2 linked regions of the Arabidopsis thaliana genome follow. The protein of the gene in region 2 interacts with the protein of the main gene of each other region in a pairwise test. Each region holds a gene or a part of one and is shown on either strand. Other genes may lie near its edges. The genes, in order: RGLG1 and UBC35.

Region 1 (6,028 bases), on a different chromosome or scaffold from region 2:
GTGCGTTAAGACCATGCCCTACTACTTTCTCGTACTTCACTTCTTCTGGAAGATGGCTGACCCATGAGCTCATCAAGTCAAGTACAGTCGAACCGGGTCTCAACCGGTTTCTGTATAGTTCGGTTAAGGAGGATATGAAACTATCATCTACGTGGTTCACGAACCGTGGATATGAATAGAATTCACGGTCAGGATCGGCGTTTAGTTTGGTCCGACCTTCGTTGTTAAGTACTAACCTTTGGATCCTACCGGCCGAGGATGATGGTCGAGGATCGGTTTCATCGATTCGGTTTGATATGTTGGTGATTCTTGGTCGGAGAATTCTAGGTTTCAATTGAAATGGAGATTGTTGGAGGTTGAATCGAAGAGAATCCATAAGAAAAAAACTTTCGCTTTATCAAATTTCACAGAAGCGAAGAATCGTTTGTAGAAAAAGTGACAAAATTTATGTAAAAAGAAAGGAATGGATAACTGATGAGTGGTGTGATTATTTCTGCTCTTCCCTACTATTTATTTGGTATGTTTGCTTGTAGCCCAATTTCAGGCTAATGGGCTTCTATTGGGCTATTCATCCATTTATTTCTCATTGCTTATGTCGACAAAACAAATCAAAATTAAAGTGTTTAAGCAATCAACTTTGGTTTAATCGAATCTTGAAAAATCAAAGAAAGCCAACAGACAAATACATAATTCTTACAATCCAATCAAAGAAATTTTATGAACAAGATAAAGTTTAGGAATTCAATCAAAGAACAAAAGAACACTTTAATTTTCTACAGAAAGATCTGAAAATCTCTGGAAGAAATGGGATTTGGGCTGGTCAAAGCTGCATGTCAATGGTGTTGTTAGTAAAGCTTGATTCTGGTCTGGATCGGCGCACGACAAATAGGACACACTTTAAGATCTGGTCCGCATTCACAACAAGTCTGATGGCCACAACCAAACGCCATGTTTTTCGGGTTGCTCAGACATATCGGACATAGCTGTTCAAGGGGAAAATAACACAAACGAGTTTAACAACAAAAAGTTCCAAAGCTCTTATTTCACTTAACATTTCAAACAGATTCCTAAGTTTCTACTAATTACCTGAATATCGTCTGCACTACTCATTTGCTTGCTCTCAAATGGATAAGGAGGTACACTCGGTTCAAAATTCGGTATCCGGGAACTAGAGAATGATGATCCACTCTGCACCGGTGGCGGAAGTGGGATTCTCTGTGGGATATTTCCATTTCTTACCCTGCAAAAATGTAAGGGAAAGAGAAAGGTGAGCATTTTGTTTAACAATATAGCAGTTTCTCGCAGCTACACCTATCAGAGTTTTGATTTGGGTCCCTTACCCTAAAAGGTTAAGCTCTATCGTTGCTTTGTACTGTGGAGGGATCTCCATGAGAGCAGACAGCGCAAACTCTGTCTCCTTCCGAGACTGGTCTTTGTTCTTTGACATGATCTCTGTGAAGTTCACAAACTAGAAACAGAGCAAACATGTTAGAAAAATGGTTCCAAACTGAAGAAAAGAAGCAATCTTCAATGTCATGATATGAAAAAAAGAAGCTTACCTGGAAGTTATCGAAAGCTCGGGCAGGTATGTTATCATCAAATTCCTGCATCATGTCCCATGGTCCATCCCCGACCCCAACTAAGACTATTGACAAAGGAAGGGTACTGTAATAGAGAGGATGAAACTGATTACATACCATAACACTTTATAACATTACACTCAAAGTAAAGAACTTTAAAATGGAAGAAACATTAGTCAAAAGATTGAAATATTCGCACCTTGCTTTCACAATTGCATCTACTGTCTTCTGTTCTTGCGGACTTAGCCGCCCGTGTTCGGTATCGACACTTCTTGTGACCTGAAACAACAAAATGGGTCCACTTTGATATCCCTAGACACAAAACCAGAAGATCATACACAGCTTAGGCAGTCAAAATATTAATCAGTACCTGGCCATCAGCTATAATCACTAACACATGATATTGGCCACTACTCTGCTCAACCACTGTCATTGCCATTTCAATGATCGGGGCAAAAGAAGTTGGTCCTGAAATACATAAGTTCGCAGGAAAAAAAAACACAGTTTTAAGTTTATAACTTGCGTTTCACAAGGAGATATAGAATTGGCCAGTGCAGGTCAGAGCAGGAAATAAACCTGCGAGCTTAAGCTGAGGTACAATTTCTCTATAACGAGCCAATACTTCCTCAAATCCATTACAGAATCTTCCCTCTGGATAGAAACTAAACACGTCTTGATCATGAGTTGATGCTGCAAAGAGATGAAAGCAAGTCAATGATGATCCGATTGATATACATTCTTATGAGAATCGAGAAGAGAGAAAACAGTGCATACCGTCTCCAAAACCATAACAAGGAATTAAGTTATCCTCGTCAAAGGCGGCTAAGGTTCTTCCAATGATAGTAATTGCTTGCTCGTATGGATTCGGGGTATTGCTCAAGTGATGCAAGCTTTTCCTATTGAAGGACTTGGCCCCTGCAGTACCAAAACCAATTAGTTTGGCTTCTCCTTTACATTCAAAACGTAAGAATAAGAATAATATAACAAACCTGTCCATTCATTGCTCTTGGTGAAATCAATACCAACGATTAGATTAGAAGATTCAAGACCTGCACGGCCTAGAGCCTCGGACACCTGGAATCAATTCAGACACATGCTAGATTCAGTTTCCAAAGAACCTTTGAGGGGAAAATCCAAGTGTATAGCATATGCATTGTCTTAAACTAACCTGCAGTAAAGAAGAGTAGTTATCCGATATTTTGGAATACCTCCGATCAAATTTCTTCCTGTCAGCAACTTGACTCTGTGAAGGAGGTGGAGGATAATTAGGCTGTGATGCTGCTGATGCATAGCCCTCTTGACTATACTGATGGCCATAACTGGAAGCCGGAGATGGAGCGGGAGCATAAGTGGGTGGTGGAGGATTATTAGGCTGTGATGCATAACCCTCTTGACTATACTGAGGGCCATAACTGGAAGCCGGAGATGGAGCAGGCACCGGAGCAGGAGCAGGAGCAGGAGATGGAGCGGGAGCATAAGTGGGTGGAGGAGGATAGTTGTAGCTATCAGGTCCATATTGAGGATAACTTTGATGAGAAGCCCATGATGATGAAGATGGTGATGACGACTCTTCTTTGGAATTCCCTCCTCCCATCAAACTTTATTCAAATTAACAAAAAGACACAAACTTTAAGGCTTCAAGATCAATACACCTGCATACAAAGATTCAGATTTTTAGAATCTTATCCTCTTTGGGCCAGAAAAAAGGGGAATCACAAGAAGAACGTAACAGATTCAACATGCAATTACCTAATAGAAAACTCGAAACTTTCTAAGGTGTCCTTGAAAATGGGTATGACTTAAGAACCTAGGGGTGAGAGAGAGCAATTACGACTTTGAAAGAAGAAGAAGAATAGTTTTGCAGAATGAATATATTGACGATGATTATGGAACAGGTGTAATGAGGCGGCGTCTTAATTCTTAAGAGAGAAGATTTATGATTGATGAAGAAGATTCAATCACGTTACCTCCAATTACCGACTTTGAGCCGTTACGTGTCTATTCTATATATGTTTGGATTTTTTCACAATTTTGGAAACAAGAAATTAAGAATTGTAGATTTCATTTAACTTACAAGTAACTTAGGGTTTAAAACAAAACAACTGAAGACAAAATCTGAGGCGTTTTAATTAGAGAGATTTGTCCTAATTAAGATGAAAAGTAGATTTATTCACCAACAACCCAGAAGAGAAGAGGGAAAAACAAAACAGATCAAACTGATTTCGATAGATAACTTAAAAAGATTCTACCAAAAAAAATCCCAAACCTTTTGTATGTGTGAGAGAAGTCGACGAAGAAGAAAAGAGAGCAATAAGACAGAGGTGGTGTTGAGAAGATGAAGCGGTCTTCTTCTTTTTTTGTTTCTTTTCAGGTTGTCAACACTCAACAGGTCAAAGGGAAGGGATCTTAAATGGCGGATTCTATCTATATCCCCAAATTCTCTCCTTTTGTTCAGAAAGCTATCTAACCTTTTTTCTCTTGTTTAATCTTTCACTTTACGTTTCAATCATGAAATCTGGAAAAGATTAGTTGGATTTGTTTATTATTGGCCCACCATGTCCAAGTCCAAGTCCAAGTCCAGACCGATTTCAAAATTTTAATATTTATTACTCGATCAAATAACCATTTTATTTCCATTAAGATTGTAAAAAACACTAGTAGCAATTCGAATTCGTGATTCTGAAACACACACATGTTTTGTTCAGATTTCATCAAGTAGGGTACTAGTAATAGTATAGATTAGAAATTGAACATGTCTGGCACGATTTCTCTTCATTTTCTGCCAAATAATGATCTCTGAATTCTATATTTCTTTTTTTTTCTCCACACTATATCTGCCAACTTCTGTATATACAGTTTCAACAAAACAAAAAAGAGCACAAATATGGCAAATAAATATCATTACTACTTCAATTTTGATCATCTGTTCTTTAGTTCTTTTAATATAATATAAAAAATTGGACCTTAATGTGGAAAAAGAAACAAAACAAACATATTAGTATAAGCCAAGGAACAAACAACAAAAATGGGCAAGAAAAAGAAACAGAACAACCACCCAATTAAAGCTCACATGTTTATTTCTCTGGAAAATGGCTCTATCGTGTGAATAAGAAGACTTGATCAAGGCTTTCATAAGGTCTGAATGTCAGAATCATTCAAACATGAAGGCGCAATTTTTACCGGCTGAAGCGTAAATCCCGCTTTCCTGCATTCTTCTTCCAGAAGTTTCACCTGAGATGGACCTTCAGGGCAGAAAACCACCACTGCTCCTCCACTTCCAGTGAACTTTGAGGCTGCACCAACCCTCCTTGCTACTTCCACCATCTCTATGTTCATTGCTCCTAAGCATTCATCCCCAAACATCCGCCTATCGGGAAAAAAAGACATCACTATTATATGTGTGTATTCCCATCTATTTCAACATCATGTGAGCTTGGAGTTTAATCTTAAGTTGTGTATAGGTTCGAGTTTTGTCTGGAATTATATTTACCTCCGAATGTCGAAATTAAGGTTCATGAGTTCCACAAGTTTGGAATGGTCCTTGTTGAGTAATGCAGTTCGACCTTCTTCTGCTAGACTTCCGACTTCTTTCATTGATGAGATTATAAACTCATCACCGTCTAACCATCTTTGCCGAACCATACTATGTACCTGCATTAGAAGGCAATGCTAATATTATGAAACATCTAACAGAGAGATACTTCTAAATTCTACTGAGTTATGCCCCAAAGATCTGAGTTCTAGTGTCATAAATGCTTTTTGAGGAATTTCACTTGATTGATGCATAAACCAGAATCATTGAATAAGTGTAAGTACCTTCCCTGAGTCGCTCGGATTCTCAGCATAGATGAGATGCAGAGGAGGGAGGAGACTGATATCCATAGGAGTGTAAATCCCATGCCCCAATTTATCCATGTGCTCCTTGCTAAAATCCTGCAAAGTGAAGAAGATGATAAAAAGTCATAAAACCGATGGAACCAACGGCAATGTATGAGATAGGAGGGGAGACACTGACCATGTGAACAAGACCACCATAGACCTGAGCAACCCTGTCCTGAAGACCAGCAACAATGCCAAGTTCTTTCTCAGCACTGAGAACAATGTTAGGGCGGACTTGTACTTTGATCAAATGCCTGACATTGTAGAAGTCGAGAAGGCAGTTAAGGGCAGCGGATACGATGGCACTAGAACCCGAAAGCCCTGTCTGGAAGGAGCATCAAAGTTGAAAAGATAAGCGTTGGTGGCAGAGAAAAGAAAAAAACATAGAGAGAAAGGGGAAGGAAAATGATCAGTACCTGCCTAGGGATATTGGTATCATAAGAAAGAGAGAAGTTGGCTTGGTGAAGTTGAATGTCATTCTCTTTGCAATAGTTACGGAATACTTTACATATCGCCATTAGCAACCTTACCCCACCGTAGTATCCTTCATTTTGCAAACGATTCAGCTA
Region 2 (4,985 bases):
TGAGATGCGAAGATTCATCGAACGTAGATGCAATTCCTGTCTGATGCAGTAGTAGTGGAAGTCTTTCTTTTCCTTCTTCTTCCACGGTTGGTAGACGAAAATTTCACTGCTCCACTTCGGCTTCATTAATATTTTTCATGAAATCTGAAATGTGTTCTTGGTTGGTGGCCTTTTCGCTCTCTACTGATGATGATTCCTTTGGTTGGTGGTTTATGGTAGTGTTTTCTTTTTCTTCTCTCTTTTAATATTTCTTATTTTTTATATCGAGTTATTATTACATTAGGATGATAATGATGATGATGGATGTGGATTTCTTTTCTACAACTTAATTTGTGTTGTGGGCACTCTTCTTTGCCTTATGGTTTGTAATTTGTAAAGCTCTGCTAGTTATTCTTTTTTCGACCTAATTTGTGATCTAATGTAATGGGGATTATCTTTTTAGTTTGGAATGTTCCCGTTGCATGTGGATTGTATTTATTATTTCCTCCTTATTGTTTCTTCCTGAGATCAACTCTTTCCAAAAATACAACAGAATCACCTCATCGGGGAAATGTATATAAATTACAAACTCTCTCTACATCACTGCCAATTTGTAAAAGAAGTAAATTCCAACAATGATCAGTAAGTAACCTATGGATTTTGATGAAACTTAGAATTTACAGAGCTTAGACACTAGAGAAATATAGATATTTTTTACTCAAAAGACTTTGACGAACTTCAAATATAAGAACGAGTATTGATCCTAGGAGTAATGATACAGTGTGATTAAGAGAGATTACAGAGCAGTGGCGGGGGGAAATAACCAGCAAAATATAAGCTTTCTTATAACTTTGATGTTGAGATAGATTTCAGCAAATGTAATGTTATTTGGATGAAAGAGATCTTTTCAGTTTTCACCCTCCAATTTATCATGCGCCGCTTGCATAAAGACGGGTCCATTCCTTAGCTGCACAGATATAGTTCACAAGGATGTGAGATACTAACACAACGTTTAGAAAGAAAGAAAGAAAGAAAGAGTAGAAAGATATTGTAACAAGTTTAAATTCAGTGTTAAAATCACATCACCTGTATCCACAGCTTCTGCCTCATTACTCTTCCAGTGCTTAGCAATGTTCTCAGAAAGCGGATCATCTGGGTTTGGTGCACTCAGAAGAGCTTGAATACTTTATAAGGATTGCACACGTTAATAAAATAGGAGCAGAAGTCAAGCTCCAAGAAACCAATAGTTTTTAGCAGGAAATAATCTTATGTAATCAGCTCATATACCTTAAGAGCACTGTTCGTATTTGTAGTGCAGGGCTCCATTTGTCCTTGAGAATATCAAGACAGATTCTTCCAAGCTGCTCAAATAGACACAAGTTTAGGAGCATGTCTTTGGTTGTGTGGATGACAAAGGAAAAAGAGGAGGGATTTGGAACAGACCTTGTCAATGTTAGGATGGTATATCTTTGTGAGAAACCTAACCTGTAACAGATTAAATCATTAATAGAGTCATTAGAGAATAGAGAAATGCTCTACACAAACCATTTACAAAAAATCAAACGTTCAAGAACTATATCCATATGAAAAGAGAAACAATGACAAGAAATATGACATTACATGTACGTCACTCATAATCCAACCAGAATCATGGATCTCAGAGACCATTTGGTATGTGTACAAATAAATACCAAACCAATATATTCGCTTAATAACTAGATTCTTATAGCTGACACTACTTATAGTCAAATGACTTACCTTGGGAGCTGCCATAGGGTATTCTTCAGGCAAAAAGAGCTCCAACTTGAAAACTCCTCCTATAAGATGGAATCTATCACTCAGTAAAAAGTTAAAATTTTAAGAGAGAGCATATTCAAAGGAGAAAAAGAAAAAAGGTACAAGTTTTAAACTTAGCATCTGGTACGCAACAGAACAAATCGAATGTGTTAATAATAAAACTAAGTACAGTTGTGTATGTATATTCAGGACTATACTTAACACTAGCTAGTGTCACAAACAAGATACAAGAGCATTAGCAATCATTGCTTGACATAAACATGTTGTACTCTCAAAGCAAAAAATCTAATACTCGGATTATCAGAAGACTATTTGACTACCTTCATAAGGTGATTGTGTAGGACCAAGAATCATAACGTTGAAATACCGCATATTATCCTCAGATGGAGAGGCACTTATACCGGGAGCTGCACCAATCAAATCAATCGAAGTTATAATCAGATTTAAATCTTACTCTACAACCAAATTCCAAACTCCATGGACGGTCACGTCTCGGATCCACAATTCAACCATCAAAATTGATATTATCATCTCAAAATCAACACTATAACTCAACAAGGCAGGACGAATTAAAGAGTTTTTTACCCGGTTCACTGAGCAGACGTTGAGTTTCCTATCAGATCGCAAGGAAAACAAAAGTTAAGAGACTCCGATAGAAACAGAGATCGGTAGAGTTTGTCCAAGGAATCAAATCGAGATTGGAAAACAAACCTTGATGATTCTTCGCGGCAAATTACTGTTGGCCATTATCACTTGTCGATCGAGCTCAGAGAGTTAGGGTTTTTGAAGGGAGCTGCTGATGATAATCGAGAACAACAAGTTCGTCGTCGTCGTCTCTCGAATCTGACGAAGATTTTAATTCGATTTCCTTTCTCTATCTTTAAAATTCAACTCTGGACGAATCAAATAATATATTAGCTTTTATTTTACGTATTTTCCCGCAACCTTTGTTTATTGCTAACCCTCCCTAAAGTTCTACTTATTTATTGATTTTTCCCAACAGTTTTCGAATATTACATAGATTTTCTCAGATTTCCGGGCTTATTGGTCCATCAAAGCCATTTATATGTGAGGCCCATATTTATTATAATGGACCTTAACCAAATCCAGTTTATCCATTAAGCTTGTCATTTTATATTGGACTTGTAAAACTTTAAACATTTCATTGGGTTGGGCCGATCTCGAAAGCCCATCAAGAATAATACGACTTTAAAGTAGCGAACTAGGTAGTAGGTTCACTGTGAGTTAGCCGTTGAGGATGTCAGAACGGTAACTATGACGTCAAAAGCTGAGAATTCGAAAACTATCCGTTAGTGATTTTACCCAACGGTAAAGAAAACTTGTCTATATATAGTAATACACACAACACAGTCCTCGTTACTCCTAAATTATCTAATCCAAACCAAGACATGTAGATAGAAACCTATTCTCTTTTTGTCTCTTGTTGTCTGATTCTCTCTTCATCTTCGGCGGCAAAACTCAGCCAATCATCGGTGAGTTACTTTGTACTTTACTTTACGGTGAAAAGCGAAAACTGTGTCTATGTAAAACCTTTGTACATTACCTTTCTGTCTCTATGTACTTTAATTTCCAGTTTCTTTCTTGTTGTATTGTTTGGGTGTTTTTAGTCGGAATTACTCTTCTTGGCTCTTAGTACTTTGTTTTGACCCATGTTGGATTTTGATTTCTATGTTATTCGTATTGTTGATACTTCGTTTAAAACTTATATGTTGACAAATGAATACGGTGCAATGCCTTAATTTAAACCATGAATCTTTTATTTTCGTTATTATTTATTTGATAATAGTCCTAATAATGTTTTTAATCAAGATATAATATTTTTTGCGAGGGATCATTAATTCTGATGAGGAGGACAAAGCTTCAACAAGCGAACAACAATATCCACTACTTAGAGAGCTAAAGCATAAACATGAATTGCAATTTCCGCCAGGTTAGTTTTCAATCCTTTCCAAAAATCAACTACTATCAATAATAATTGAAGCACTTTTTAGTCGAAATACTCATCACTCGAAACACTTTCTAGTGTAAACTTTTTAATTCTACTTTAATAACACACTCATAAACACTATATCATTTAGTAGTAAAACACTCAGTAACTAAAAAATATTTTCTTAAAAAAAGATATGATGCGGAACTTTTAATTAAAACTCACAACTAAAAAATTAAAATAGTTGAAACATACTTAGTAAACACCAAATTATTTTCAACAAAAAATAGTCAAAGTCGTAGCACTGAACCATTCAACCAAAAAAAAACACATTTAACAAGATACACACACGACTAATAAATGTGTATTTTCTTACGTCTTTAAAATTACATTAACACTTAATTAATTCAACAAAATCCCTTTAGCCAAAATTTAGTCGAAGCACTTACTCAAAAAACTTATATCTAAATCCGAACACACGTAAAACACTAGATCAATTTACTTAAAAGTCGAAACATATATTTCCAAGCATACTTCTAAACAAAGCATACTTAGTGAAGTACATTAGTTATACTGTTGAACACAATATTAAATCACGAACACGTACTCCTAAACTAGTCAGGCAAATTACTCCTAACATTTTAGTCAAAACATAGTTATTCGTAACACTTGAAAACACTTCCGCAATTCCGCATTTAAAGGCAAGTGCAAAAATCACACTTTATTTAAAAAAAGCTTATATAAAAACCGTTTTAGGCGAAGTATGAATATTACTTGAACAATTATTGTTTTTACTTCACATTTCGTCGAAGCGTCTGTTAGTCGAAGCCAAGCACAAGTTGAACCACTGTTAGTCGTATCGCTGTTAGTCGTTAGTCAAAACACTTTTTTATGTCATACATTTTGTACGTTGTTATTAAATGTTAACTTGATCGGGAAAAGACCACTCTGTTGCAGGTCGCACACCTTTAACAGTGATCTAATATATCAAAGACAAAAAAAAGGTGGATTGAGATTAATCATAAAAGGAAACAAATACTTTAACAACTTCTCAAAAAAATTGGTGATCAAACTCAGAAAACTAAAAATTGGAACATAGCAACTGAAGAAAATGAAAATGAGGATCTGTTTCGCATCCATATTTCGCAAACTCATTAAAACGTTAATTAATTTTAAAATAACCAAGTGTAGATAACGCAGCTTATCGGATCCGTTGGTATAACGTTGTATGGTCCTCAGTTTGGAAGGAGTGGCGATTTTC

Evidence for each region.
Region 1: the proteins of UBC35 (region 2) and RGLG1 interact in a two-hybrid assay, tested with the Arabidopsis thaliana proteins (one study listed by BioGRID).

Annotation. Positions count from the first base shown.
Region 1 is NC_003074.8:239,880-245,907, reverse strand, and holds RGLG1 (RING domain ligase1), read right to left. Parts: upstream 4,170-6,028; 5' UTR 3,847-4,169; exon of another isoform or gene 3,330-3,846; intron 3,233-3,329; 5' UTR 3,175-3,232; coding exon 2,749-3,174; intron 2,655-2,748; coding exon 2,570-2,654; intron 2,496-2,569; coding exon 2,355-2,495; intron 2,271-2,354; coding exon 2,157-2,270; intron 2,049-2,156; coding exon 1,951-2,048; intron 1,860-1,950; coding exon 1,780-1,859; intron 1,666-1,779; coding exon 1,560-1,665; intron 1,469-1,559; coding exon 1,341-1,468; intron 1,241-1,340; coding exon 1,087-1,240; intron 984-1,086; coding exon 846-983; 3' UTR 624-845; downstream 1-623. Other genes in the region: AT3G01660 (S-adenosyl-L-methionine-dependent methyltransferases superfamily protein), read right to left, coding at 1-376; GLCAK (glucuronokinase G), read right to left, coding at 4,710-4,947, 5,071-5,231, 5,397-5,513, 5,596-5,784, 5,876-6,025. UniProt on the Arabidopsis thaliana protein: E3 ubiquitin-protein ligase that mediates the formation of 'Lys-63'-linked ubiquitin chains. Regulates apical dominance by acting on the auxin transport proteins abundance.
Region 2 is NC_003070.9:29,648,127-29,653,111, reverse strand, and holds UBC35 (ubiquitin-conjugating enzyme 35), read right to left. Parts: upstream 2,737-4,985; 5' UTR 2,524-2,736; coding exon 2,488-2,523; intron 2,390-2,487; coding exon 2,362-2,389; exon of another isoform or gene 2,184-2,361; coding exon 2,097-2,183; coding exon of another isoform or gene 2,094-2,096; intron 1,797-2,093; coding exon 1,738-1,796; intron 1,465-1,737; coding exon 1,423-1,464; intron 1,341-1,422; coding exon 1,267-1,340; coding exon of another isoform or gene 1,254-1,266; exon of another isoform or gene 1,164-1,253; coding exon 1,066-1,163; intron 947-1,065; coding exon 909-946; 3' UTR 501-908; downstream 1-500. Other genes in the region: AT1G78880 (Ubiquitin-specific protease family C19-related protein), read left to right, coding at 1-44. UniProt on the Arabidopsis thaliana protein: Catalyzes the synthesis of non-canonical poly-ubiquitin chains that are linked through 'Lys-63'. This type of poly-ubiquitination does not lead to protein degradation by the proteasome. Mediates transcriptional activation of target genes.